Saccharomyces cerevisiae S288C: one gene and its partners. The gene in region 4 interacts genetically with the main gene of each other region. Each region holds a gene or a part of one and is shown on either strand. Other genes may lie near its edges. The genes, in order: YAR068W, GGC1, ALD6 and MIR1.

What was found.
Region 1: mutations in MIR1 (region 4) and YAR068W together harm fitness less than expected from each alone (positive genetic interaction), as found in Saccharomyces cerevisiae (one large-scale study listed by BioGRID).
Region 2: of MIR1 (region 4) and GGC1, changing one enhances a phenotype caused by changing the other (phenotypic enhancement), as found in Saccharomyces cerevisiae (one study listed by BioGRID).
Region 3: mutations in MIR1 (region 4) and ALD6 together harm fitness more than expected from each alone (negative genetic interaction), as found in Saccharomyces cerevisiae (2 studies listed by BioGRID).

What each region holds. Positions count from the first base shown.
Region 1 is NC_001133.9:217,912-225,974, reverse strand, and holds YAR068W (uncharacterized protein), read right to left. Parts: upstream 3,570-8,063; coding exon 3,084-3,569; downstream 1-3,083. Other genes in the region: acid phosphatase PHO11, read right to left, coding at 1-515; YAR066W (uncharacterized protein), read right to left, coding at 4,315-4,926; YAR064W (uncharacterized protein), read right to left, coding at 5,478-5,777.
Region 2 is NC_001136.10:97,593-106,415, forward strand, and holds GGC1 (Ggc1p), read right to left. Parts: upstream 6,960-8,823; coding exon 6,057-6,959; downstream 1-6,056. Other genes in the region: ACK1 (Ack1p), read right to left, coding at 1-361; mitochondrial 54S ribosomal protein uL10m MRPL11, read left to right, coding at 883-1,632; TRM8 (tRNA (guanine46-N7)-methyltransferase), read left to right, coding at 1,969-2,829; MGT1 (methylated-DNA--protein-cysteine methyltransferase), read right to left, coding at 2,909-3,475; YDL199C (uncharacterized protein), read right to left, coding at 3,698-5,761; ASF2 (Asf2p), read right to left, coding at 7,325-8,823. UniProt on the Saccharomyces cerevisiae protein: Mitochondrial GTP/GDP transporter required for GTP uptake and GDP exit from mitochondria. Involved in mitochondrial iron transport and essential for mitochondrial genome maintenance.
Region 3 is NC_001148.4:429,485-438,900, forward strand, and holds ALD6 (aldehyde dehydrogenase (NADP(+)) ALD6), read left to right. Parts: upstream 1-3,103; coding exon 3,104-4,606; downstream 4,607-9,416. Other genes in the region: putative peptidylprolyl isomerase CWC27, read right to left, coding at 1-132; protein translocase subunit TIM50, read left to right, coding at 455-1,885; YPL062W (uncharacterized protein), read left to right, coding at 2,411-2,815; MFM1 (Mfm1p), read left to right, coding at 5,039-6,280.
Region 4 is NC_001142.9:575,889-579,900, forward strand, and holds MIR1 (Mir1p), read right to left. Parts: upstream 2,303-4,012; coding exon 1,367-2,302; downstream 1-1,366. Other genes in the region: septin CDC11, read right to left, coding at 1-713; dioxygenase BNA2, read left to right, coding at 2,972-4,012.

The DNA of each region.
Region 1 (8,063 bases), on a different chromosome or scaffold from region 4:
TTAGACGTAAAAACGGCAAAACTGGTTTGGTTTTCGACCATGTAGCCATATTGCGCCAAGAAATCACGAGCGTGTCTCTTAGCATTCATCTCACCGGTATATGGGTTCAAAACATTGACCGAATTGGCAAGTGTGGTTTCCATTTCTAGGTTTTTGGTGTCACGAATGAAAAATTCGTAGTCATCGTTCAAGAAAGACAATGCTCCGCTGAATTGACCGGTATAGTTACTCAATTTGTACCATGTTGTCATGATACTTTTGGCTTTGCTGACAGTGGGGTATCTTTCACCGTGTCTACCAACCATTTGCACTTGCTTCATTTCACAACTTTCCGGCAAATCACGAGAAATACCATAATCACCAGGGAAAGAGTAGTATGGCCCAGAACCACCCAAAAATGGGAAAATTTCCGTTTGAGTTCCGATTTTGTCAATGTCAGATAACTTTCCGAGGGGTATGGTACCTGCATTAACCAAAGAAGCGGCTAAAATTGAATAAACGGCTGACTTCAACATTGGTATTTCTGATGATGTTCTTGCTCTCTTTGCTGTTGTTGTTCCTCTTCTTCTTCTTCTTCTTCCTACTTTACAACCAAGGCGAAACTGAGCTTGAATCTATCGAAATGTAAGAGCTTATATACGTTTTACTTGGCAATTCGACGCTGTTTATGCTCATTCCAAAACGGGTATAACATATCTGGTGAGATGACCAATTTGGCAATGTGACGTGCGGAATATGGAATCTCTCCGGTAAACAGGGTCTGAAATTCTGTGTAATTTGCCTTTTTAAACCCACGTGTGAACGCCAAGATTGTGCGGCTTCGTTTAGGGATGTGTTCTGTTTTCTATTAACTTTTTACTCTTTCCTTCCTATTTCTTTTTTTTTTTTTTTTTTAGTACACATGAACTACAGAATGTTATGCGAAAACGTGGTAATTTAATAAATACGTGACACAGCGTATAAGAAAAAGCTTATCAAGGTTATCTCTGTCATTAAAACTTTATTAGACACCCACGATGAATGAAACGATGAAAGTAGATATAAGAAGTAGTCGGAAGTGAGAAAGAGAAAATGATAAAAGAACGAAAAAATCCCTTTATTTTCTCATCTTGATGTATAAAATAACTACTATATATTTGTGGCAGAAATCATACCTTTCATTTTTCATCGGCATAGATAATCTTGATTGTTTCACCTTAATACGCTTTTTTCAATGTCGTTTACAAAACAAGCTAGGTTTGCAAGATATCCTGGACTTTTTTTGTAATCTATGTGGCCACAGTATGGTTCGCACTTGCAACATGGTAGAGGCTGCCCAAAAACAAAACCGCATCACCTTTGGCAGCATTTACGTGAAACTCCATCCTCTTGTCAAACTTTGCACAGGAATCGTGTGGGCCCCACGAGTGTGAACCAGTAATTACATGTGCGGCTCTATTGGCATTGTTCATATCTGTAAAAGCAACTCCTGCTCCCAGTACCGTTTCTTTCCGTATTGGAAACGGTCACAGCACCGGTCTTGTAGACAATACCCGAGTTTAGCTAAATGTCACTTGGGCACTTTCTAATGACATTTCCAGCCAAAAGAAGTAATTTTGCTCATTTAAAAAAATAGTTTGCCATATCACAAAACAGTCGGTCGGATAATATCTCCTTCCAACAGTAGGAGAATGGAGGACCACACCCTTGTGGCCATCGTTGTTTTCTTTGGGAATGGTGAACCTTTCCATGTGTCGTTGTCTGTAGAAATGGTGTTCGTGCTGCTTCTTTCATCCACTAGAATTCATGAGGTAGTAGTTCTTATATGTTATAAACTTCAACACGCCACCTGGTCTTGGGGTAATATGAGCAAGAATTTCTCTCTTAAACCGGATATAAGTCTGAGCTTTCTGTTGGATATAATTTCTATAAATGATATATGCATCTACGGTTGCATTGCCCTTACAGTTGTGTTTATTTTATAAATCTACGTTTAGTATAAGAAAATTGTATTGTCGAGTCTTAGCTGAGTTCATATTTATTCAAAAAATTGGCCTAAATGTTATGTCTCTTTCTCGATCCATGAATTATTAGCAACACCGAGAATTGCAGCAGTGATGCTTCACATTAATGCATGTTCCTCCCTGTTGCCTTTTGGTAAAGTCATGGGCATATGATTACTCCGGGCGTCGCGCGGCTGAAGGCGTCTAAAATAAAATGTTCAAAAATGATATTAACTTTCTTATATATCTTAGACCTGCTATTTCTTTCTTCTTTTTTTTTATTTTGTATTCAATTGGTTTTCACTTTCTCGAAACGCAAGGCTTAAATAAATCAAGGACAGATTCGATAGCTTCTTTTGGGACAGTCAGCTCTTCAGAGGTAATTGCATGACTTCATGATTCGCGGAATACGAAATGAAAAGGGAGGTCCGTTTGAGGTAACTCAGTTCTTTACGAATCACATGCAATATTCAGGGTAAAAATCCAAGTTATCTAATTTTTTTTAAACTACCTTTTTCTTTTGTACATCACGTTTCACTATATATTCTACTACATCTATTTTCGGCCCAAAACTACAGCATTTGCAGAAACAAAACGACGCTTTCTGTTCCTGCTGATAGTATTCATGACACATTCCATATTGCATGTTGCATTTAAAACGAAGGGCCAAGCCATGGTCATGTGATTTCCATGTGCGGCAACTTCAAGACTTCTTCTTTTGGGCATAGGAAGACATTAAAAATATTATTTATGCATTATTCTTATGTCGGCTAATAGATTCAAAGAAACCCACGAAAAATTTACCGACCGCGCGAAATAAAAGTAAATGAAAAAAAAAAAAAAAAAAAAAAAAAAAAAAAAAAAAGAAGAATGTGTCTATCTTCATAATGGTGCCTTCGCTAAACCATCTTTTCTGACGCTTTATAGTTCGAACACAGCATTCTTCAACCGCGTAAAGTTAAAATCACTTGAATGTTTACACTGACGTTTATATATTAAAATACTTTCTACTTAGTTATTTTTAGGAAAGTACGGTTACGCACTCATTTTAAAAAAAAGCAAGGATGAAAATACCTGCCAAAGTACTTAAAGCATTGGTTCTCAAACCAGCAGCCATACCTTCGGATTGAACGACAATACCAGTGAAGGTGCTGGAAGCAGCAGTATGAGAAGTTGGAGCAGCAGACTTGGTGACTGTGCTAGTGGCCAATGATGTTTGTTTGGAAGCCTCGGAAGTGACAGTCTTGGTGTTACAGCCGTTGTCGTCACAGTGAGTAACGGTAACAGTAGTGTATGATTTTGGAGAAATGGTGGTTGCTGCAGTTTCTTTAGAACATTCAGAAGTGACAGTCTTGGTGTTACAGCCATTGTTGTCACAGTGAGTAACAGTAACAGTGGTGTATGACTTGGAGGAAACGGTTGCAGTTGCGTCGGTAGCAGTTGGTGCTGGAACATGGCATCCGTTTTCGTCACAAGATGTGATGGTGGCAGTGGTAGATGAGCATGGGACAGTTGTGGTAATGGTGTAAATGTTACCGCTAGCGTCGGTTGTTTCTGAACAGGAAACCACGACTGTACTTGTGGCATTCAAGTAAGTTAATGTAGTAGTGTAGACAGAAGCGGAACCTGAGGTGAAGCTGGTGGCGGATGCAGCGGATGCAGTAGAAGTAGTGGAAGCGGTGGAAGCAGTAGAAGCGATTGAACCAGATGCTGTAGTGGAGTTTGAGACACCAGAGATAGAGGCGCTAGATGAAGGAATTATTGAGTCTGGGGCGCTAGAAGAGATCGTAGAAGAGACGGTGGTAGAAGCGTTAGAGGATAAAGTGACTGAACCAGTGGCAGTAGAGACAACACCAGAGGTAGTGGATGCGGATGTGGATGCGGCGCTTGTAGCGATGACACCGTCATAGTTTAGGTAATATGAGTAGGCGCCTGCGAAGATTCCTTCGGAGACACTGAAGCCAGAACTAGAGAATCCAGTACCAATTTCAAAAGAGAATTGTCTGTTACCTTGGGTTGCAGTTAAGACACCAGTAGTACCGTCGTAAGAAAGAGCAGTGATGTCGGCGGTAATGGCAATTTGGTTCTTACCGGTGTAGCCAACAACAGGAATAGGAGTGGCGTTGGTTTCGGTTGGGTCAACGGCAAGAACACCTTCACCCTTGAATACAACAGTTTGGCCAGTAAAGGTGTCAGGGTAGTGCAAGTATAGGTTACCAGAGACGATGTTGATTGTACCGTTTCCAGAAACTGGTTCAACGATAACATAGGTACTTCCATTGTCTAGGTTGATTTCACCGTTATTTACAGAGCCTTCATCGTCGTCTCTACGTTACAAACCGGAAACAGAACCACCGTTGAGAATAGCATTTGACAAAGAAAAGGTACCAGCGTTAGAGTATGGAGAAAAGGTGACTTCACCCTTCTTGGCCTTTGACAAACTCAAAGAAATGTCACCGCTGCTCTTGAACGAGCTAGGTGTGAATGAATAGATAGATGCGGAGACAGCGCCAGTTTCTTCAGCACTGAAGTTACCGGAAACTTCAAAAGTCTCACCAGAAACGTCGAACGCGGTACCTTCGTAGCTTGCTTCAGACTTTTCGACAACCAAATCACCGTGAACTTTTAGATCAGATGAGAAGACGTATTTTTCACCGTCAAGTAAAGTCAACTTACCACCGGCAGCGACTTCCACGGCCTCGGTTGCAATTACTTTACCAGTAACTGTGAGATCACCGCTAATTGTTGTGGATGGCAAATAAACGGTACCGTCACTGGAAGAAAGTGAGTCGGAAGCGGTGGCACTTGCACTAGCTGACGAGACGGAAGTGATAGAACTCAAGTCTGCGGAGGAGGTGCTATTGGTGTAAGAGTCACCGAGAGCGCCGCGAGAGAGTAGGGCCAAAGCGACAGCAGCTTGGAATTTGTTAAAACGATTGAACATCTCTTTTTTTTTTGTAATGGGCGAGAGTTTACCAATAAAAAGAAAGAAATAGTAAAGCTTGCAAAGATGAAAACTTGGACTGCTATTATGAGAACAAGAGTGAATATGACGATCCAGTGACAATGAAGCATATTGAAGTACGATTTACCTGCTTTTTATATACTTCTTCTTGTTACTACTCACGGACTCCTAACCCATAGCTATAGAGCCCGAAGCTACAGAGACCGATGGTGTGCTAGATCAGAATTTTTGTGCATGCATTTCTACGAAGAACATTCTCAAGCCCTGTAAGGCTTGTACGCGCGCGTTTGCCAACAGGGAACGAGGTGCTAATTTGCAGACCAACACATAAGCAATTGGCCAAAACAACAACAACAACAATAACAATAGCAGCAGCAGCAGCAGAACGCGATTCAGCCTGGCCAGATTATTGTAGAAGAGGCACGCGAAAACAAGAGCGGGGAAGGGGCAAGATTGTTTGTTACGTGGGCAGACGCTCAGCTACTTTCTATACAATCCCTACTCTGTGAGGTGCTTATTCAAGCAATGATCTATAACTTTGGCTCAGAACAGATCATACGCCAAAAACAGAAAAGAAAAAGATAGCTATGTCCTAATGGAAGAGACAAGAAATCTTTGCGGCTACCCTCGAGAGAGTTAGTGCACGGTTTCTCCGTAGCCGCGAAATGCTTCTTTTCTGTCCCTGAAGCGCACGGCTGCGTAATCTCACTGCGACGCGGACGGCAATTGTTTTCCCCGGAGACGTGGCTGACAAAAGTCCCTGTGAAAGAAGGCGCTCGCTCTCTTCCGTGGGTCCCTGCTATATAACTACAGCAAAAATCAATCAACATCCTATTCCTGACGAGAATTACTCCGTCTCGTTAAAGAATATCTTTCCAGCGTTTTCTAAGGAAACGCGCAATGTCGCTCGAACTACAAAGACTGAACCTTTGGGTTCCATTATAAATTCTTGAACTTGTTTCATACCCATATATAAGCGGTGCAAAAGACAAAAGGGAAAAACAAAAAAAAAATGAAGAAAAACGGACAAACGGATAACCGGCACCTTCTGTACCACTACATCGCCCGTTTTCGCCAGCATTTCATCAGCACAGATTAGATAGTGTATTCCTACCTCCAACTATCTTATGCTTGGTTTGAATATTTTGGCCCAGTTTCTCAGGTCTTGCTTCCAGGCGCACCCAAAATGTGGTCTTGGTGTGATTGTCGTCACCTTGCCATCCTCTCTCAAATAACGTGGTTCTTGGTAATCTTCTAGACACTTTCCATAGTTTCAAGTCACGTGCGAATTGGCATGTTGCAGAGATTTAGATGGCTATATTTCCTCAAGTTAGCGCATTTGGCTTACTTGATCAGGCGCTTACGAGCTACATTTACGCCTGTCTGTATAATTTTGTTTCTTGACGATGGGATTCTCATAAGAAAGTCCAGATTTGTTCGCAAGGTTAGACACTTTTAGCAGCTAGTGCGTGGTACTTGTAGAATTGCGAACCGGGCATTACAAAACAAGCCCTTTTTTAGCGCTGTCAAGAGCAGAAACTGTAAGTATGCCAGAGTTAGTTGCCGCCCCAATGCTCTTTTCCTGGGCCAATTCGAGAAGTTGAACAGCTTTGGATATTACTGATAAAGAGATGTTTGCCTTGGGGGGCTACTACGGTAATAAGCGTCTTGTCGCTAATGACATGCCAGCAATCACTAAGATTGTTTCGCTCTCAGAAGAACCAGAGGTGGAACTACTGGTTTGAATGACGGATGATTTAGATGATTCAGAGAATATAGAAGTGGAGGTCGTTGCAGAAGAAGAAATGACCGAGGAAGACATGACTGAGGAAGAAACTACAGAAGTTCCATTGCTGCGATAGAATGGAGTAATAATTGGATGCTAAGACGTGATAGAGCTGGTGATTTGTTCTGAAGAAGATGATGACAAACTGGATGAGGTGGCAGTGGTTGGAGCTTTGGCAACAATAACGGTTTCGTCAGTTGGTTGACCATTAGTACCGGTGACGGTGGTCATTTCAGTAGATGTAGAAGTAAAAGTACCAGTCCACAGTTCGGTAGTAGTTGTGACGATGCTAGTAGTATGTTTTGAAGGATCAGGGATAGTACAATTTGACTGACTTAAATCATCGTCAAAAGAGTAAACGTACCCTTCAAAGTCATCACTAACAGTAGTACCATCAGGCAATTCCACGCTAATTGGAAGCGTGCCCCAGGAAACGGCATTGGAGTAAACAACCTTCAGCGGATAATAGTAGCCTGCATACATGTAGACAGTCCCTCCGATGTTATCAGGCAAACTTCCTTGCCATGGCTTAATACCATTGATTGTAAAATCCGTCGATGTAATTGGAGGTTGTTCTTGTGCACAACATTCGAACGCAACGTTACCACCGACTGATAGAATTGCAGAGTCATCGACCTTAGCAAACCTGAACGTGTAAGAACTTGTTTGTGGTGGTAAAAAGTAACCTGTCATTTCTAGAGTAGCGTTTTTTGGGATAGTAAGAAACCAAGTAAATCAGTACTCCAATAGGTCTTTCTTGGCTATTTTGAACATTCACTATGACCTCTGCATCCCCAGTTTCCATAAGCATCTGATTGAGCACATTTAAAAGTTCCTGAAGAGATAACACAAGAAAGATCGTAGTCAATTGAGAAATCCGTCTGTCCGCCAACGGAACCTAATTCCAATTCGAGGCATATCCAGAAGTCATATATTGCGGGTAGGAATACGTTGTTGAATCCAGTAATGAGTATTTATAAAAGTTGACATTCATCCCATTTTTCCTCGGGCCCACTGGCAGGCATGCTTGTGTACTTCCTGAAACAACATTGGACGTGGCCAGGTAGGTGAAGAGTGCCAAAAATAAATAGTGATAAGGCATTTCTTGGTTCGTCAATCAGGTATGGGTATATTAAACAATAACTTTTAGCCATGCTGTTAATGATGAAAATTTTGATGCTGGTCTCTTCATATGTCATTGTTTTGGGAACTGTCTTTTTTCGATCAGATGTATGCGCTACGATTTGTTTAGCGTAGTGATGTTCCTGCGCTGTATTTAGGAAATTTTGGTATCGAAACGTCCCTACAACACTTTTTGTCGCTGATATCT
Region 2 (8,823 bases), on a different chromosome or scaffold from region 4:
TGGCATATCCTATTTCACCTGTTGGCTTGGAATTAAAAATGTCCATGCCGTTATTACTATTTATGGTTACTGGAGTGCCTAATTGACCACCATCAGCATTCCCGTCTGTGAAATTCAGCGCACTCAAAGGCAGCGATAATGATGAGGAAGATGAAGGGGATGTAAAAGGAATAGCTGGTGTGAGTTCAACGATAGAGTCATCCACTGGATAGGGTGCAGGCACTATATTTTGAGCTGGCAAACCATGCCTATCCGAATTGGCATTTCCCAATTTATGCGAGGACTCCCGCGCCCTTGCTGGTGGAAACATGTTAATGTGTTTGTCATAGAGGTTAGGTTGCGGTTGGCCCTGATTAACCATTGCCTACTGTATTAAAACAAAGTATTAAAACGTGGTGGTACACTCTGTACAAAAGAATAGAAGGAAATGAAAAGAAAACGGAGTTAAAATCTACTTCATAAAAAGAGACGCTTCCAAATCCAGTCTCTACCACGTTCTTGTATATAATTTGAGCAACTCAAATTAAATTACCGGGATATCTGCTTATTCTACAAGCCATAGCATCCAGTGCTAAGGTTCATCTCAAGCCATCTTCAATACACTTGATAATTAGTCGTCAATTTTAAAATTAGGTTTCGTTCTTGAAGGCACTTAACCTAAGCTTTTTACTATATGACCTATTAAACAAGTCTTTTTCATAGTGTAACCTAACGTTTATACACTAATAACCCTAGGGCTTAGTAGAGATTCATACAGAAAAAAACGTAGAGTTATAGCAGTAAACTGAGAAAAGAAAGAAGGTTAGTACAATTGAAGAGTAAGGAAAACAAAAGCTTTAGACCTTATTGGAAGTGCTTGGGCGCGGAGTGTGATTATAAATAATGTTGCAGCTAAGGTTTATGCCTGGATGGGTCCCCAGAAATGGTTTTTTTGGTTTGAAGGAGACAATTGGTACAGTACATAAGAGATTTTATGCTCTGGCTTCTGAACAACCCTCAAGAAAGACAGTAAAGCCGCTGGACTCGAGGAAGACGTTTCTCATCGATACATACAAGCATTTAATGGAGAACAGTTCTATGATTTTTTTTGTCCATTACAATAATCTTTCCAAAACAGAAGATCACCATTTCAGATTCAAGATTAAACAGACAGGAGGGAAACTCACAAAAGTAAGAAACAACCTGTTCGAAGTCTACTTGAGAAATTCGCATCTGCCCGACCCATGTGGATTCGTGAAGCGTAAAGAGCAAAACTGGAAACATCCACTCTTGCCACTACTGAAGGGTCCTACGGCCACAATTACATACGAAGACACCAACCCTCAACAAGTAGCCAAGCTATTGAAGGTTCTGCAGTCAGCACAAGACAAGCTGATGGTGATTGGTGCAAAAGTAGAAAACGAAGTTTTGAATGTGGAAAAAATAAACACTTTTAAGACTCTCCCCACAAAGCCGGAAATGCAGTCGCAGTTAGTCAGCGTTTTGCAAATGCTAAGTGGGTTGGGTTTGGTTCGTACGTTGGAAAACAGTTCAAATGCATTGTATTTAACACTAAAATCTCACAATGACAACCAAAAACCTAAAGAGGATGTGGAGTCAACTACAGATGCAGAATCGAAGGGATCAAAGTAAAAAGAAAATGCCCGTAATTCGACAAGTTTTATAAAGGTTTTACTATTCAATCATGTACATACATCATCAAAAAATAAAAAGACAATGAAGCAATAACGGTAAATATACTTTAGTCTATGTATTGACGTCAAAATTACCTTTCTTTTACCTTTCTTACCTTTTTACATATCTCAGCGACCGTTGAAAAAAAAAAAAAATGAAAAATTTTGGTGATGACTTCAGCAAAAAATTTCAGGATATTTCTGACATTTCACTTTATTAAAGCGCCACAAAAGCTGGATTAGTATAGATTCAGCAGTTCCCATAGGATAAAATTTTCAAGCGTTTATTGTTAAGATGAAAGCCAAGCCACTAAGCCAAGATCCAGGCTCCAAGCGTTACGCATACCGTATAAATAAGGAAGAAAATCGTAAGGAGTTGAAGCATGTAAAGATCAATGAAAGTTCTTTGGTGCAAGAAGGCCAAAAGATCGACTTGCCAAAGAAGAGATATTATCGTCAAAGGGCGCATTCCAACCCATTTTCAGATCACCAGTTAGAGTACCCAGTATCTCCCCAGGATATGGATTGGTCCAAATTGTACCCTTACTACAAAAACGCGGAAAATGGACAAATGACAAAGAAGGTGACGATTGCTGATATTGGCTGTGGATTCGGTGGGTTGATGATAGATTTATCACCAGCCTTCCCTGAAGATCTTATCTTAGGGATGGAAATTCGTGTGCAGGTTACAAATTACGTGGAGGATAGAATTATTGCCTTAAGGAACAATACAGCTTCAAAACATGGATTTCAAAACATTAATGTCTTGAGAGGTAACGCTATGAAATTCTTGCCCAACTTTTTTGAAAAGGGCCAGCTTTCTAAAATGTTTTTTTGTTTCCCCGATCCTCATTTCAAACAAAGAAAGCATAAGGCAAGAATTATCACTAACACCTTGCTGAGTGAGTACGCATATGTTTTGAAAGAGGGCGGTGTCGTGTACACAATTACAGACGTCAAAGACCTGCATGAGTGGATGGTAAAACATTTAGAAGAGCATCCTTTATTTGAACGGTTGAGCAAAGAATGGGAAGAAAACGATGAATGTGTGAAAATAATGAGAAATGCCACAGAAGAAGGTAAAAAAGTGGAAAGAAAGAAGGGTGACAAGTTCGTCGCTTGTTTCACAAGATTACCAACGCCAGCCATATTGTAACATAGATGTATAACTAGAACAATTTACCACATATACATAACTATTTCTTATGTTTATTTTCCTAAAATCCTTTATCCAACTACAATCTACTAAGGCTTAAGCTATTTTCCTTTTCATTATTTAATAACTGTTCTTTCAGTTTACAGCTCCATTTATATCCGGTTAATTTTCTATTGCTACCAACGATTCTATGGCAAGGTACTAACAATGCCAGGTTATTTGAGCCGCAAGCTCTTCCGACAGATCTTGCGGCAGTTGGCTTCCCTATTCTCTTTGCAATATCACCATATGTTACGACGTGGCCGTGTTCCACGTTTAAAAGCTCATTCCAAACTTTACGTTGAAAATCTGTTCCAAACAGGAACTCAAAGGGAATAGCGCCCGATGGTAATGGCATTTTGTTTTCTAAACATATTGTATAATTTTCGATTGATTTCTTATATGTTTCTGCCTCTTTTAGTTCCTGTAAATCGTACATTGTATCCTGTTTCTCATGTTTCTTCAAGAAGCCTTCCACCTTTCCCAATAAAAAAAGCTTATCATTACCTAACGAGGCAAAAACAAGGTTTTGAGTCTTTTCCCTAAACACCAAAAATGCACCAGTCACTTCAGTTTCAATGAATGTATAGTAAAGCAGTTCCTTCATCGTTGGTCCATTTAGATCAAAAATGCGACCGTTTTCAATTTTTTTTTTGTGCATATGCTATATCATTACTTGATTAATCTTCCTTGTTTCCACCGCATTTTAAATGCCCTGCCAGGCCAATAGCGCCGTGCCTTTTTTCTAATGACTATAATAAGAATATGTATGTAGGATAAAACTAAACATTTATACTTAGGATGAAGCAAATATTTTTATGAGGCCATACTAGGCAACTGCCATGTCTCCAGGCGAATTCTGGCCTCCACCTGAACTGGGTTTATTCGCAGCAATGTTGTCGCTGATATTTGGATCGGTTCTGTTATGAAAACTGAAAAATTCTCCAGTCCTTGATGGTCCTGAATCAGATGTAATGAAATAAACATTTTGTGCAGAACCGTGTGTCTGGTTCGATAAGTTTCCGTTTTTGGGTAGAATCTGCTCATTTTGAATAGATGAATAGGCTTGATTATTTTGTTTGATACTACTTCCTAGAGTGTTTATCTGATACGCGGAAAAAGATGGTGAGGAGGAGAATTCAGAACCGGTATCGTCAAAAACATCATCATGGTTACCGCTACCGTTTCCGGTAGAATCATCATCAGAATCTAACCTTTCGTCACGGGTTTCTATAGGAAAAATCTTCAGCACAAATATAATGGAAATAAAGGAAGATAAAGATGGAATAAGATAAAACTTCCAAGACAGACGGTCAATAAGTATAGGGGTTATTAAGCTGACGAACCACTTAAAAATCCAATAAAAGTTTGAGACTAGTAGTATCACTGGGGCCTGTGACAAGTGAGGTAGAAGCTCAATGGTCATAACCCATCCTATAGAATCCCAACTGATGAAGTGCGTAAAAAGAAAAACAGCAAATAGTATTGATATATACCTCGTTGTGCTCTTGGGAAACCAGTCTGTAAAAGATATGGTAAATAGCAATGCACACATCACAATCGAACCTAAGAGTACATTCGTTTTCTCTTTACGTTTCCGTAACACCAAGGGAACATATGCTAATATTACGATGCTGTAAATTAAAGCATTAAGCCCCGTTAAATAGATAGATTTTCTTTCTCCTCTCCCCATTTGTTGTAATATTAACGGTGAGTAATACAAGAAAGCATCCACTCCATTTGTTCGTGTGAGAAGTTGGAAACCTATCAACAATTTTATTATTGAAGAAAAATCCTTTAAGATATACGCATATGGATAGGAGTTTTTTTGAAGGTGTGACTTTAATAATATGTCTCGTTTCAGGACCCTAAATTTCAACTGAGTTTGGTTTTCTTCGAAATTTCCATCATCGAAAACATTCGATATTAAAACCAATGCCTCTACGTCGTTCTTTTGCTTCAACAGCCACGAAGGGGACTCTAAAATAAGATAGAACGACATTAGGTTTAGTATTATTCCAAGTGCCACATGTGTTGACAAAGGGTATCTCCATGCAAAGCCCAAATATCTGAAAGCACAATTAATCCATATTCCGAATGAATACGCAATGACACTAGAGACGCATTGAATGGAAATTAATGTCCGTTTTCTTATACAGGGAAGGGGAAACTCGAATTGATAAATTATTACCATAGAAAAGGCAAAGCCCATACCTACTCCGAGTAAGAATCTACCCAGTAGTAAACACCATTGGTTTAGAGCCAAGACCTGAACAATGGCACCCAAAGAGTATATCATTGTGCTTATTTGGAGCATTTTTTTCCTGCTACAAGGCTCCAGGATGCCAGAATAGACAAATAACGACGCCATGAACGCACCCAGATTAACAATGCTCACTATATTGCCCAGCGGAGAAGTAAGTGGGTAATGAAAATACTTCTGGAACGACAAAGTCATAACGTTACCAGATATGAGGCCTTGGTCCAACCCTGACAGCGAGGAAACTAGCACCACAAAAGATATAAACGAAGTACGCAAAACTCGACTGGAATGCCTTTTTTTCTTACTTCGTAGTTGTGAGATTTCAGCCTGTTGTAGTAATTGGCGGTATGGATCATCCATTGATAATCTAGGGGTATGTTCAGAAAGCGGCAAAACCACAGTAGCATCGCTGTCTCTATATAGAGAACCACGACGCGAGCTATGAGCTGTGATGTTGTTCTCAAATCTGAATATGTCGGGGTTCTTGTGGGGCAGTGAAGTTAGTGCGGTATCATCCTGTTTACTGTTAAAATCCTGTGCTAGCTGATGTGCCCTATCAATATGCGCCGAACTATTAGCTTCCTGAGTAAGTGGTTTATTTGAACGTGACATGTTTAACGGAGGTTTCATTTTCTTGAAAAAGCTGAGATAGTAACAGGTTCCTCTGTAGTATTAAATTTAGCGCTCTTCTTTATGTTCATTCTTTTTGTCCTGAAGTGGCCCAGAAGCCCTTCAAAGCAATCCTTTATTTTTTTAGAACTACGCGGCTGACGTCCTTACCTCGGTACGGTGATACAGCTATTACATTGGAAAAAGTAGTTAGTCAAAAAACAGGAAATAATACATAAAGTACAAACTCATATTGTTATACATTTTATATTCACAAGCTGAATGCCAAGGAAAATAGACAAGAAGTTCATGTACTTCATTTGCTCAACAGGTTATCGAATCTAGGTATCAAAGATTGAGCTAACGCAAATGAGAAAACCAGTTTTGGACCCGTTGTTAGTAATTTAGGTGTTAAGCCCTTGAAAAACGCAGTTACACCTTCATTTTTCAGAGTGTTTTTGACGATTCTCAACCCGCTTTCAGGATTATCAAAATTCCTATTTTGAATTCTTGTCTTGATGACATCTAATGGAGCAGAAACGATCAGAGAGGAGCAAGCACCGACGATGGAGGAGATGAAGTTTTGGGACCAAGTAGCTTGAGAATAATCTTTCAAACCCAAGATATACTCCTTGGCGAATGCATTACCACCAAAAAGGGCGAATGAACCGGGAGCATTTCTGGCAGCCGTCCACCCCCAACCCCTATATAAGTTGAACAGGCCTTCGTCTCTCAAAATCTTGATGAAACCTCTACCTTTAAACGATTCGGGATTGGTCTGTCTCTTAATCTTCAACACGTCCAGCGGCAAAAGAACAATTTCACCAATACCAATCAAAGATCCAGCAGCGGCGGATCTCATTGCCTTACCAGTCTTTTCACCGAAAAGATTATCAAAATCCTTTTTGTAGTGCTTATTCAAAAACTCGTTAGCAAAAGGCTGACCACCATATTTATACACTCTTTGAAGAACTTTGTATGATGCAGCGTAACCGAGACCCGGGAACAAGGTAAACAAACGTTTGCCCAAAGGTTCGCTGAAATGATCACGAAAAATAACACGATTCAATTCCTGGCCAGAGGTTATTTTGGTGTGGTTGGACATCAGTCTTTTGGAAATGGTGTCCACAGGATGGAAGACGGCAATTTCCATTATGCCTGCAGAGGCGGACCCCAAAAGACGAGCTAATCCTGATTGTTTCTTATCGGTATGAGGCATATTTCCCTTTTCTAATACTTTGGAAGATGCTTTGTTTGATATATGTCTAAAGGCTAAATATTAACCATCAAAAGAGATACACGATTTATATAGTCACCTCTATATATCTATGTCGTCGCTTTGTAGAAAATGTGACAGCAAATGCACAGTGACTCACGAGTTTTTGTTTTCTCGAGCTTTATCAAGAATTGCGATCGTTCTTTAATTTTCATTTTCTTTTTTTTTCGGGCAGTGGCGGCGGTGCTACATGCCATTGGTCTACAAGGAAACTGTGGCAGCGAAGATTAACGGTGGTATGTTTGCGATAGAGCTTCCTTTGCAGATAGGCGGATGCCGTAGTGATCTCTACCGCTTCGTATTTATATTTATTTATGTAGTCCTGAACAATGCTTTGAATCCGCCAAGCTTTGTGCCACAGGAGGAGTTGATGTGTCTAGTGTGACTGGTTCATTTGCCACCAATTTTGGCCGATCGTCTTTCTTTGCAGTCTCTTGAGATTTGTCTTTTGAAGGAAGTTGAGGACTGTCCGTGGGCACCCTTGGCAGAGTTTTCAGAGTCAAAGACTTCAGGTTGGCTATATGTGGTGGTTGTAGTCTTGATAAGTAGGATTTCCTTGATGAGTAATCAAGGTTTAGTGTTGTGCTCTTTTCGGAATATGACTGCCCGTCTGGAGCCGCTAATAGAAGCCGTTGAGGGGTGTTGTCAATTTCTTGATGGTTCGAATGCTGGGATAAGAGTAGAAGAGGCGCATATGTACTTGCCACAGCGGGGGCGAGTGGACACGATTTTTCGCTACCAAGTTTTTGGAATATGCCCAAATGGTGTTTGCGCTGGGCTGGTGGTAGCCGTTGAATTAATGATTGCACGTAACTCTGCAGTAGCTTGATGGTATTATTTTTTCTTTCTAAATGCAAGTGGGTAGTTCGGCTCCTCTCATCGGCCATTTTCTTATGCAACCTTAGATCTTGCAATTCCTGTTCCTGGATAGCGAACAAATCCTCTGGATTGTTTTCCTCAAAGGGGTCCACCAAAGTCACATTGGTGGGGATTTGTACTTGATTTTGTGTTTCTGTTTCTATTTGCCCCTTTGTTTCTGATTGTTGCGATAGTTCTGCTTGTAATGCTTCGATAGTCTCCCTCTGGTTAGCGATGCTTTTCTTGTAGGATAACATCGTGAGATTGGCTTTGTCGACCAGCTCAGGAATACATTTAAGATAGTCATCCTTTGCTTTAGCCTGCTTCTTCAAGTGCTCCAGTGATTTGGTTGCTTGTAGCAGTTGCATTTTCAAGTTATTCACTTTGATTTCGGAATTTTTTCTCACGTTATTCAGTTCTCGCCTCACTTTGGCCAGCTCTTTTGAGCTTTCTGCATCAAACACCTTGCTGTCTAAACTTAGTTCTAGTCCTTCGTAGTATTTTTCATGGAACGTGTGAATCTCATCTAACTTGGTGTTCACCGTGTTCTGGACGTTTTTGTAGTCCTGTAACTTGGCGCAGATTTCCTTCTTGAGATTAACAAGCAAAGTGTATTCATCGTAGTTGCGTTCTTCTTTGCTAGAGGGAAGTCGAACAAGTTCGATTCTCTTTTCAGCAGAGCTCTTGTGCGTTTCCTTTAACGCGTTGTTCTCATCCAGGATACTTTTCATTTTTCCATGTAAACTAGCCATCTTAATTTCATAGCCTATGATCTCGCCGGACAATAACTTGGCGCTAGACACTAAAGCGGCTTCATTTTCTCGGTAATGATTCACTAAAGATTGAAGCTCCTTGACTTTGCTTTTCATCTGCCTTAAAGATGACTTCTTTTGTACTCTTGAGCTGCTGAGGCCCTTCGTCACAGCCGCATATTCCTTGTCCGAGTTGA
Region 3 (9,416 bases), on a different chromosome or scaffold from region 4:
ATCTGAGAGCATAGATAAGAACCTCTTACATGTCTCAGGGCATTCTTTAGCCCATAATTCAATGGCAATGTTCCCCTTTGTTGTATACAGTATACATTTAGCTGTTGTCTGAGGTTCTATATTACTGGACATAGCATTCTTACTTTGGTTTAAAACTCATCATACATGTTTCCTGTAATACGCTTTGAATAATAAATTATTCAATAAATTATTCTCAGGACATTTTGAACCTTTTTTTCTCTTCAGACGCTTTACAGCGGAAAAGGAAAAAAAAAAAATTGGAAGTTCTTTCAGTAAAGTGAGATATATTCAGCAAACGAACATAACGTCAGGATTAATCGGAACGGTAATTTCTAGCATCCACTCAATTTCGTGATTAGCTTTTGGCGCATAACTGATTTTTTGCTTTAGCACATCACAGCTAGAATAAACTTCCAAAAATCACCCGCTTGCAATGCTGTCCATTTTAAGAAATTCGGTGAGACTAAATTCAAGGGCTCTTAGGGTTGTGCCATCTGCCGCCAACACCTTAACATCGGTTCAAGCATCCAGAAGACTTTTAACAAGTTATTCAAGTTTTTTACAAAAAGAAACAAAAGACGACAAGCCTAAATCCATTCTTACAGATGATATGCTGTTCAAGGCCGGTGTTGACGTCGATGAGAAGGGCCAAGGCAAAAACGAGGAAACATCAGGAGAAGGAGGAGAGGACAAGAATGAACCTTCTTCCAAAAGTGAAAAATCTAGAAGAAAAAGACAAACTTCTACAGATATTAAAAGAGAAAAGTATGCTAACTGGTTTTACATTTTTTCGTTGTCTGCGTTGACAGGTACTGCAATCTACATGGCAAGGGATTGGGAGCCTCAAGAGTCTGAAGAATTGAAGAAAGACATCGATAATGGCTACACTTTATCACTTATGTATAAAAGATTCAAGGCCAGGTTCAACTCAATGTTCACCTACTTCCAAGAGCCACCTTTCCCTGATTTACTACCTCCACCACCACCACCACCGTACCAAAGGCCATTAACTCTTGTTATCACATTGGAAGATTTTTTGGTTCATTCTGAGTGGTCTCAAAAGCATGGTTGGAGAACGGCCAAAAGACCTGGTGCTGACTACTTCTTGGGTTACCTATCGCAGTATTACGAAATTGTTTTGTTTTCATCCAACTATATGATGTACTCTGACAAAATCGCTGAAAAATTAGATCCAATCCATGCATTCGTATCTTATAATTTGTTCAAGGAACACTGTGTTTACAAAGACGGTGTGCACATTAAGGATCTGTCAAAATTGAATAGAGATTTGAGTAAAGTAATCATTATTGACACTGACCCTAACAGTTACAAATTGCAACCTGAAAATGCTATTCCAATGGAGCCATGGAATGGTGAAGCTGATGACAAATTAGTAAGATTGATTCCATTTTTGGAGTACCTTGCCACTCAACAAACCAAGGATGTTAGACCAATCTTGAACAGCTTTGAAGACAAGAAGAACCTAGCAGAAGAATTTGATCATCGTGTGAAAAAATTGAAGGATAAATTTTACGGAGATCATAAATCTGGTGGCAACTGGGCAATGACGGCACTAGGTCTCGGAAATTCCCTGGGCGGCAGCACCAAGTTCCCGCTCGATTTGATTCATGAAGAAGGACAAAAGAACTATTTAATGTTCATGAAGATGATTGAGGAAGAAAAGGAAAAAATTAGAATACAGCAGGAGCAAATGGGCGGGCAAACATTTACGCTGAAAGACTATGTTGAAGGTAACTTGCCTTCGCCAGAAGAACAAATGAAAATACAATTGGAGAAGCAGAAGGAGGTAGACGCCTTATTTGAAGAGGAAAAGAAAAAGAAGAAGATTGCTGAATCCAAATAATTTTCATGTAAACCCTCTTCTCATGTATCTACGTATCTATGTGTGTATGTAAATGTACCTGTACACTCCCCACACCCTCATTTTGTTACTGTCATGTGAATAAAACTTATGTATATTGCTAACTTACTACCACTGCACCTCCTAACATCACCATACTACGTACAAACACGCCTATTTATTTTTTCTATGTTAAATTTTAACGATGTAGACACACCTAATGATCTGATGCGCTTTGCATATCTCATATTCCTTCACTAGCATAAAAATCCAAAAAAAAAGAATATTTAGGCCGAATGGAATTATTCGTAACGTCATACGAAAAAAGTTTCAATTCGTACAATGCCTGGCATGTTCATTCGAATATAAGGCCGCCGCCTTCCAGTCAGGGTAGCCAAAAGTATAATCCCGGGTGGAAACTAAACTAAAAACCGTACTCACAACTTTCCGCGGACGCTAACAGACAAATAGACACACTATCAGGTCAGGAACTGCCGTCACATACGACACTGCCCCTCACGTAAGGGCATGATAGAATTGGATTATGTAAAAGGTGAAGATACCATTGTAGAAGCAACCAGCACGTCGCCGTGGCTGATGAGGTCTCCTCTTGCCCGGGCCGCAGAAAAGAGGGGCAGTGGCCTGTTTTTCGACATAAATGAGGGGCATGGCCAGCACCGAGACGTCATTGTTGCATATGGCGTATCCAAGCCGAAACGGCGCTCGCCTCATCCCCACGGGAATAAGGCAGCCGACAAAAGAAAAACGACCGAAAAGGAACCAGAAAGAAAAAAGAGGGTGGGCGCGCCGCGGACGTGTAAAAAGATATGCATCCAGCTTCTATATCGCTTTAACTTTACCGTTTTGGGCATCGGGAACGTATGTAACATTGATCTCCTCTTGGGAACGGTGAGTGCAACGAATGCGATATAGCACCGACCATGTGGGCAAATTCGTAATAAATTCGGGGTGAGGGGGATTCAAGACAAGCAACCTTGTTAGTCAGCTCAAACAGCGATTTAACGGTTGAGTAACACATCAAAACACCGTTCGAGGTCAAGCCTGGCGTGTTTAACAAGTTCTTGATATCATATATAAATGTAATAAGAAGTTTGGTAATATTCAATTCGAAGTGTTCAGTCTTTTACTTCTCTTGTTTTATAGAAGAAAAAACATCAAGAAACATCTTTAACATACACAAACACATACTATCAGAATACAATGACTAAGCTACACTTTGACACTGCTGAACCAGTCAAGATCACACTTCCAAATGGTTTGACATACGAGCAACCAACCGGTCTATTCATTAACAACAAGTTTATGAAAGCTCAAGACGGTAAGACCTATCCCGTCGAAGATCCTTCCACTGAAAACACCGTTTGTGAGGTCTCTTCTGCCACCACTGAAGATGTTGAATATGCTATCGAATGTGCCGACCGTGCTTTCCACGACACTGAATGGGCTACCCAAGACCCAAGAGAAAGAGGCCGTCTACTAAGTAAGTTGGCTGACGAATTGGAAAGCCAAATTGACTTGGTTTCTTCCATTGAAGCTTTGGACAATGGTAAAACTTTGGCCTTAGCCCGTGGGGATGTTACCATTGCAATCAACTGTCTAAGAGATGCTGCTGCCTATGCCGACAAAGTCAACGGTAGAACAATCAACACCGGTGACGGCTACATGAACTTCACCACCTTAGAGCCAATCGGTGTCTGTGGTCAAATTATTCCATGGAACTTTCCAATAATGATGTTGGCTTGGAAGATCGCCCCAGCATTGGCCATGGGTAACGTCTGTATCTTGAAACCCGCTGCTGTCACACCTTTAAATGCCCTATACTTTGCTTCTTTATGTAAGAAGGTTGGTATTCCAGCTGGTGTCGTCAACATCGTTCCAGGTCCTGGTAGAACTGTTGGTGCTGCTTTGACCAACGACCCAAGAATCAGAAAGCTGGCTTTTACCGGTTCTACAGAAGTCGGTAAGAGTGTTGCTGTCGACTCTTCTGAATCTAACTTGAAGAAAATCACTTTGGAACTAGGTGGTAAGTCCGCCCATTTGGTCTTTGACGATGCTAACATTAAGAAGACTTTACCAAATCTAGTAAACGGTATTTTCAAGAACGCTGGTCAAATTTGTTCCTCTGGTTCTAGAATTTACGTTCAAGAAGGTATTTACGACGAACTATTGGCTGCTTTCAAGGCTTACTTGGAAACCGAAATCAAAGTTGGTAATCCATTTGACAAGGCTAACTTCCAAGGTGCTATCACTAACCGTCAACAATTCGACACAATTATGAACTACATCGATATCGGTAAGAAAGAAGGCGCCAAGATCTTAACTGGTGGCGAAAAAGTTGGTGACAAGGGTTACTTCATCAGACCAACCGTTTTCTACGATGTTAATGAAGACATGAGAATTGTTAAGGAAGAAATTTTTGGACCAGTTGTCACTGTCGCAAAGTTCAAGACTTTAGAAGAAGGTGTCGAAATGGCTAACAGCTCTGAATTCGGTCTAGGTTCTGGTATCGAAACAGAATCTTTGAGCACAGGTTTGAAGGTGGCCAAGATGTTGAAGGCCGGTACCGTCTGGATCAACACATACAACGATTTTGACTCCAGAGTTCCATTCGGTGGTGTTAAGCAATCTGGTTACGGTAGAGAAATGGGTGAAGAAGTCTACCATGCATACACTGAAGTAAAAGCTGTCAGAATTAAGTTGTAATGTACCAACCTGCATTTCTTTCCGTCATATACACAAAATACTTTCATATAAACTTACTTGGTCTTACGTCATAAATAAATATGTATACATATAAATTAAAAAATTTGGTTTTATATTTTTACAAAAAGAATCGTTTACTTCATTTCTCCCTTTTAAGCGATACAATCCATGAAAAAAGAGAAAAAGAGAGAACAGGCTTGTGCCTTCTTTAAAACATCCCACACAAAATCATATTGAATTGAATTTTACATCTTAAGCTAGTGTACAACAACTGCTATATCCAAAGAAAACTAACGTGGACCGCTTTTAGAGTTGAGAAAAAGGTTTGAAAAAAATAGCAATACAAAGACTTGTTTCATATATAAAATACAGGGAGCACATTGAGCTAATATAACATAAACACTGCGAACCAATTCCAATCAAAAGGTACACATGAGAGCATTCCCCCGAGTACTGCCATTTCGCCATCAGAGATCATATAATAACATCCTTCTTCGAACAGTAAGGCTTTTTGGTTCATCACTTTCTTCTTTTGATTTCTCTAGGCAAATGCCTAAGGTGGACCCTGACAATACCGCTGCAATGCTACTACAGAAAAACTTGATCCAAAGAAACAACATGCTCTATGGGTATGGATCAGGGACAATACGATGTACTTTGCTAGACTCAACTGGACGAGCCAAATCACCATTAGTAGAGATAAAACGTGAGGATCTAGTATCAAAACATGGCTTGTTGCCCAGAGATCTACGTAAAATTGAAAAATCAAGGAAGAATGACTTAGTCCCTAGTTTGCTCGTGCGAGAAAATTCCATACTAATCAGTTTACTTACTGTGAAAGCCCTAATTAAGCCTGATATGGTTATTATCTTCGATTCAGCCGGCAGTGGAATAACTTTAAACTCAGAAGCTCACAAGGATTTTATTAACGATATGAAATTGAGACTAAAAAATCAAGAAACAAGCGAGCTAAATAGCGATCCACTTCCTTATGAATTCAGAGCTTTAGAAACGATCTTCATTTCGGCATTATCTAACCTTACCAGTGAAATGAAGGTGTTGCTAACCATATGCAAGGGGGTGCTTCAAGATCTAGAATTTAGTATAACAAGAGATAAATTAAGGTTCTTACTGGGTCAAAACAAAAAATTGAGCAGCTTCAATAAAAAGGCTGTTCTAGTTAAAGATATGCTGGATGACTTGCTAGAGCAAGACGATATGCTTTGTGATATGTACTTAACCGACAAAAAGGCTGGAAAAATTAGAGTTCAAGATGATCATACTGAAATTGAAATGCTTCTGGAAACATATCATAACTATGTCGATGAAATAGTTCAGAAAAGCGAAAGCGCCATATCTGACGTGAAAACCACAGAAGAAATCATCAATATAATCCTAGATTCTAACAGAAACGAATTAATGCTGTTAGGGATAAGATACGCCATAGGAATGCTTTCGTTGGGAGGCGCTCTATTCCTGGGTTCTATCTATGGTATGAATCTGGAAAGTTTCATAGAAGAAAGTAATTATGCGTATTTAACTGTCACCATTTTGGGGTTAATATCTACTGTTTGGCTCTATGCGAAGGGAATCAGACATTTGCATAAATTACAACGTATGACATTATTGAGTAAAATAAAAACAGATTCCGTTCACGAACTGTTGAAGAAATAGTTATCACGAAGAGTCAATCAATCTTTTTAATACGCATTCAAATGAATAAGAACAACTTTCACTTTTTTAAGTATATAAAAAGCCGTACAGGCGAACGTATATAATTAAAATTCTTTGGAAAAAAAGAAAGCTCGCACTCAGGATCGAACTAAGGACCAACAGATTTGCAATCTGCTGCGCTACCACTGCGCCATACGAGCTTTTGTTGTATAGTTTTAAGGCAATAGAATAATAACACTTATCCACGCAACAGTAATGTGGTTAAATAATAACTTCCTGTCAGGACTTGTGGTTGATTGGTGAAAATCAAATATCATGCTGACTACTAGAAATATTAGCAGTATATTATCATATACGGTGTAAGAAGATGAGATAAGGATTGAGAAACAGTCATCAAGTTTAATGAAAGTGAAATGAAAGGATTGATTATATAATAGGATAATGAATCACAAAGTATAAAAAGAAGGAAGAAAAAATGATATCATTGAGAAATTGATGAATTTTGAGATAATTGTTGAGATTTAATTGTTGATAAAGGCAATAATATTAGGTATATAGAATATACTAGAAGTTCTCCTCGAGGATATAGAAATTTTCAAAGGGGAATCGATTTTTCTACAAATAATATTACTATTATTCCTCCTTCCGTTTTATATGTTTCATTATCCTGCTATATTATCAATCGTTGCATTAATCGTTGAATTTCAACTTACTCGAACTTCGATGACAGTTTCTCATCCCTTATGTTATCTTCTTACACTGTATGTGATAATATACTGGTAGTATGACTACTAGTTGATAGACGATAGTTGAATTTATTCCATAAATTATTTATGTAAAACTGCCGACCCCTTTTGTCGATTTCTATATTCTCGAAGAGAACTTCTAACATTTTCTGTATACCTGATATTATAGTCTTTAACAACAACGGAATCCTCACAGTTATCTACGATTCATCTATTTCTCATCAGTAACAAAGATATTTCAGTAGTTATTTTATATAATTCATGCGTTTCACACATAGAGATGGTTTCTTAAGTTTAGAATGACGTATTTAGCTATAATAAAATGTTTCATTGTGGGATAAAAACTTGTGGGCCATGACATGAGCAAATTTATTATCAATGTTGATAATTAGAGGTAAAAAATTAGTATTAATGAAGAAGTGAGTACTGATCTTCTTATACTAAATAAGAGAGGTATATAAAACACACGCCGATTGGTCATATTAATCATGACCAATATAATAGTGGTTCCGGTAGTTACTATACATTGATGTGACGACTCATATTCCTCATATATGTACCTACCATATCATGTTCAACTAATAGGTCTTTAACACAGCTTCAGTATTGTCTGAGCTTCTCGTTTAACATTCCTTCTGCAATAGGCGCAATCACACTTAAACGTATACGAGTTGTACATTAATATACGATGTAAGCATTAGATTGTTACCATAGCAACTCATGTCACTATTAATTACTCTCGTTCCAACATGCTCCCTTAAAGATATATTATTGTACTTCAACAGATATTCATTGTGTGTTTAGAACTTCATTAATTAATTATCAATAGTCTGTTGAGGCCAAAATATCCTGTGATGTTATTTTATTTTTTAATACTTGTATAAATCTTTTAAAATCAGATGCTGATACTGGTTTTGTTAGTAAATCAGCAATATTACCTTTGCCGGTAATTTTTAACAGTTTTATACTCTTCTCTTTAATTTTTTCTTTTATTATTTCAGTTTTTATCCAAGTGAATTTCTCTTTTGGTTGTTGATAGCTGCGATTTAATCCTTGAATGGCTGGCTTTGAGTCAGTGATCATGACAATGTCATTATTGTCTCCTTCTCCTAGCTCCTTTAATGTTACCTTCAACGTTTCTGAGTCTGCATAGCCTTCATAAATGGCATGAAGCTCTGCTTCTGTTGATGATACACATCTGTTTGTGCTCTTGTTAGAATAAACATTAAAAATATTCATACCGTACCATAATATAACTCCAATCCTTGATTGAGCATCATATTCTGATCCAACTGATGCATCAGTTATAGCAATAACCTTCTTGTCTTTATTACAGTCTCGGTCATAGTGTATTCCAATATCTTTATACCGAACCAAGTACTGGATTATTTTGTAAATCATATAAAAGACTCTTTCATGTGGGTAATTTACTAGTCTAGCCACTTTCTTAACAGCAAAATTAATGTCGTATCTGCATTTGTGTCTGACATAGTTTAGTTCACCTAGTAATTGTTGTAGCTTTAGAACACCTTGTCTAAACTCTTCTTCTGACATTTGCAGTACGTCTTTCTTAGGATCTATTTTATAAGTTGACATATGCGGAATTGAACTTTTTCTAATCTTTTTCAATTCCTCGTTGTATTTTTTATCCATTCTATTTATGAATGATTTTAATGTTAAATCGATAGTACCAAGTCTTTTGTTGTATACTAGATCCATTCCTAATATATCTGTATCGAGTACATCATCTATTAATGTTCCTGTAATTTTCAGTTCAAAATTACTTTTCAATTTGTTTATGAATTCATCCAATCTCTGTTCATTGCTTGCCGCAATTACGCAGTCATCAACATAGACTGCAATCATTAGATTTTTATCCTCGGTTTGGTATAATCCCGGAGTATAAGAGTTATCTTTCAGTCCAATTCCATTCAAGTATTGTCTTAGATGATCATTCCATTCTTTAGGACTCTGTTTTAGACCATATAACGCCTTATTTAGCTTGACTACACATCTCCTATCATGCGGATGTGGGATGTATATTTCTTCTTCCAATTTAGCATATAGGAATGCATGATTGATATCCAGGGTCTTCATAAACATATTTCTGTTGTTTGCAATCATTAAGAATATCTTAATATGATTGTGATTTAAAGATTCTGTAGTTATTACACTGTAAGTGTCTGGTGACTGAGTATCACCTCTGCAGACTATCCTAGCCTTATAAATCCCATTTCTTTTCTTTGTGAATATCGTGTTGGTGGGTACTATTAAATTATCAGGGATTTCTGATCTACTGTACTTCACATCGACATCAAATACCTTCATATCTTTTAAATTCTGTAATTCTTTATGATATGCCTGTTTGTATTCATGTTTTTCTTTGAGGT
Region 4 (4,012 bases):
CCCATTTCGTAAACTTCATTGGATCCAATAATAGCAAAAGGTAGAAGTGTACGTAGGTACATATTGGTTTCGTAATCTTCGTCTGATATTTCATCTTCATCGAAAGGGAAATTATAAATTGGCAAGTTCCATCTGTCGATATCCTCCATGATCAATTTTTTATTCAGTTTCAGTTCATCTCTTGTCAAGGAATCTGATTTGCTGATCACAGGGATGATGTTAACTAAGGATCCCAACTGTCTGATGAATTCCACATCAATCTCTTTTAAACCGTGGCCAGTTGGGTTGATTAAGTAAAGACAACAATGAACTCTGCCGTCCTTAAATCTTGGGTTTCTTCTCACACGACTTTCTTCCAATAAGATTTCATCATATTGGTGGCGAATGTAGTCGGAAATGATTTCGAAAGATGGAGAATTGTCGAGAGAATCACCGAATCCCGGAGTATCGATGATATTAAGTTGAATCTTGACACCTTCATCATCTTCTAATTCGACCGTCTCCTCTCTCAATTGTAAGTCTATTTCTGTGGACGTATCTGTGGGTAACAAGATTGTCGTCGAAGTGTCTACAACTTGCTGACCGCACAAAGTATTTATAAAAGTCGATCTACCAGATCCGGACTGGCCCACGATCATCACAGTGAAGGTTATACCTCTTTTCAAATGCTTTCTTTTTCTTAATGCAGAAGATGCGTCAATTATTCCGGACATGGCTGGTGGTTAGCAACTTTAGGCCTTGTGATGATTGACTTTCTAAACGGCTCCAGATCGGGTCGCCAATACGTGGTGTCTACCTATTTTACTTTTCGATCAAATACTTTTTTGTTTATTTTTCTTTATGTTAGAAGGCGGAAAAATAAAGAATACTGGCGATCCTGCATGGTCGGGTAACGACCCACGAGCATTGTGTTGTGTAAATATAGCCATATTTAAGCTATATTTATCTGTATAACATATACGTGTCCGTATGTGCCCGACCAAATATGTTACTGCGATGAAATGGATTGAGAACGATGTTTAAATGTTATGTTCCATGTTGTGTTTTCCACCAAAAAACCGTGAAGGACAATTCAATGAGCAAAGGGTTTAACGGAGCTATAACCTGCTTTTGTAGATGAAAAAATAGAAAATTCAAATATATATATATATATATATTTATAATAGCATGTTAATTTACAGATATTTGGACTTTTGCAAAGTCAGTAAATACATGGAATAAGAATACTAGTGATTGAATAGAGTACATTTAAACAGATTTATTTATTTCTTTCCTTTGTTGACTCTTTCTTAGAATATGAAAAAAAAAAGGGGCTCCGGTGGTGATGAGGAGAGAATATATATGCATGTATCAATCAAGACCATTTCTAATGACCACCACCACCAATTTCAATGGTTGGTGGGCAACCCAAAGTGCTCTTTAAAGAACCATAAATACCAAATTGCAAGGAGGTCAAGGTACCAACCATGACCAAACGAGTAGGCAACCCAGCAAAGGAACCGAAAAATCCTAACTGTTTGGCCAACTGAGCCAACAAACCGACTGTGGATTGGCCAGGAGCCTTCTTAGTCTTGTTGACCTTGGACAACAGAGTGTCTGCTGGCTGGGAAACAATGGCAGCGGCCAAACCAGCAGTCAAACCGGAAAGCAAATTCAACAAAGTAGTGGAAGTAGAGGACAATTTTTCTTTTGGACCGGCGAACCCGTAGTAGAACTCGGAGGCACGTTCAAAGACCAAGAATTTAGCAATGTTGTAAGGAATTTGCTTGAACAAAATTGGAGTGAACCCACTGTAGAAAGAGCCGATACCTTCTTCTTTCAAAATTCTGGAAAACCCTCCGACGAGTCCATTAGCGAACTGTGGTTGGGAGACCAATCTGATTCTAGTGGCTTCTAGGGGACACAAGGCAATGTCTGCCAAGAATTCGGCCATGGCAGCAGAACCCATGTAAACAGAGTTCTTGTAGCGAGAGGCGGTATCGTAACCCAAGTTGTCAATGAAGAACTTCTTGAACACTTCGTAACCACCGAACTTGAAGGCACCTTGGATAGAGTAACCCAACAAAGTAGGACCAAACCCGGTCAACAACGCACCAGCACCTTCTCCGGCGATGATTTGCTTGAAAGAGCCGACCATACCCTTGTTGTACACGGTAGGTTCCAGTTGGATTCTCGTCTTAACGACATCGATCGGGACCATACTGGAGTGAGTCGACCCGCACCCTATGGCGCCGGCTAGGGCGAATTTCATGTAGTCAGAGACAGAGTACTGTGGAATAGCAGGAGCAGCAGACACAGACATGGTGAGATGAGACTTTTTGATCTTTGTAGTTCTTCTTCTTGCAGATCACTCTGTTCTTTGCGATGGTTCTTGTAGATAAAAAGATCGGGAGGATGGATCGCACTTAAAAATCTTCTCGAAACGGGCCGCGGCCGGGCATGGGACCCGTTCTCGACGCTGATTGGCTAACGATGGTTGGGCAGAGTCTCAGCTGCTGCTTGCTCACATTCGACAAAAGACTAGAGGAAAGCAGTACCATGCTGCGATACTGTTGCATCGCAGCATTCCGCTGTCCAAAAACAATACCTGTTGTATTGTTTGAGGCTGGCAGGCGCTTGGGTAGAAACAACACCCGATACTGGTGACAGGGCTATCTATAAATATTAAAACTTGACTCCGCAATTCGTCGTAAACTGCCTTAACCATCGTAATGGACGCCGTGCAAATGCTTCGACTTTTCCCAGTAGTCAGGCATTGCGCCAGACACTTGTGCTGCTTAATTGTCGTAATGAAAACATATCGGTAGCGGCCTTTTTTTATTTTTTTTCTCTATGGGCTGACGCTGTCACTTTTCAACGTCGCTCCGAGGCAAAAAAGCCACCGTCAGAAATAATTACTGTCACACACACTAGATGTCCATGTATCTTTAGCATATATAAAGCGAAAATAAAAGAAAGAGTCAACGCCGATATGAACAACACTTCCATAACCGGACCACAAGTACTACATAGAACAAAAATGAGACCACTACCAGTGCTAGAAAAATACTGTATCTCGCCACATCATGGGTTTTTGGACGACCGGTTACCCTTGACCAGACTGAGCAGCAAGAAATATATGAAATGGGAAGAAATCGTTGCTGACCTGCCCTCTCTTTTGCAAGAGGATAACAAGGTGCGGAGCGTCATCGATGGGCTGGATGTCTTGGACTTGGATGAGACGATCTTGGGCGACGTCAGGGAGCTCAGAAGAGCATATTCCATTTTGGGGTTTATGGCGCACGCTTATATTTGGGCCAGCGGAACTCCCCGGGATGTATTACCGGAGTGTATTGCAAGGCCACTGTTGGAGACAGCACATATTTTGGGTGTGCCACCGTTAGCTACGTACTCCTCGTTGGTGTTATGGAACTTCAAAGTGACCGACGAGTGCAAGAAAACGGAAACCGGGTGTTTGGACTTGGAAAATATTACAACGATAAACACATTTACGGGAACCGTTGACGAAAGTTGGTTTTATCTGGTCAGCGTGCGGTTTGAAAAAATCGGCAGCGCTTGTTTAAACCATGGGTTGCAGATATTGAGAGCCATTAGAAGCGGTGATAAAGGAGACGCTAACGTGATAGACGGGTTGGAGGGCTTGGCTGCAACGATCGAAAGGTTATCGAAAGCCTTGATGGAAATGGAGCTTAAGTGTGAACCCAATGTATTTTATTTCAAGATAAGACCATTTTTGGCCGGGTGGACGAATATGTCGCATATGGGGTTACCACAGGGTGTTAGGTATGGAGCGGAAGGACAGTATCGGATCTTTTCTGGCGGGTCCAATGCGCAAAGCTCGTTGATACAGACACTGGACATCCTTTTGGGTGTGAAACACACTGCGAATGCTGCGCATTCTTCCCAAGGAGACAGCAAGATCAATTATCTGGACGAAATGAAAAAATACATGCCAAGAGAACATCGTGAATTTCTTTACCATTTGGAATCGGTATGTAATATTCGCGAATAC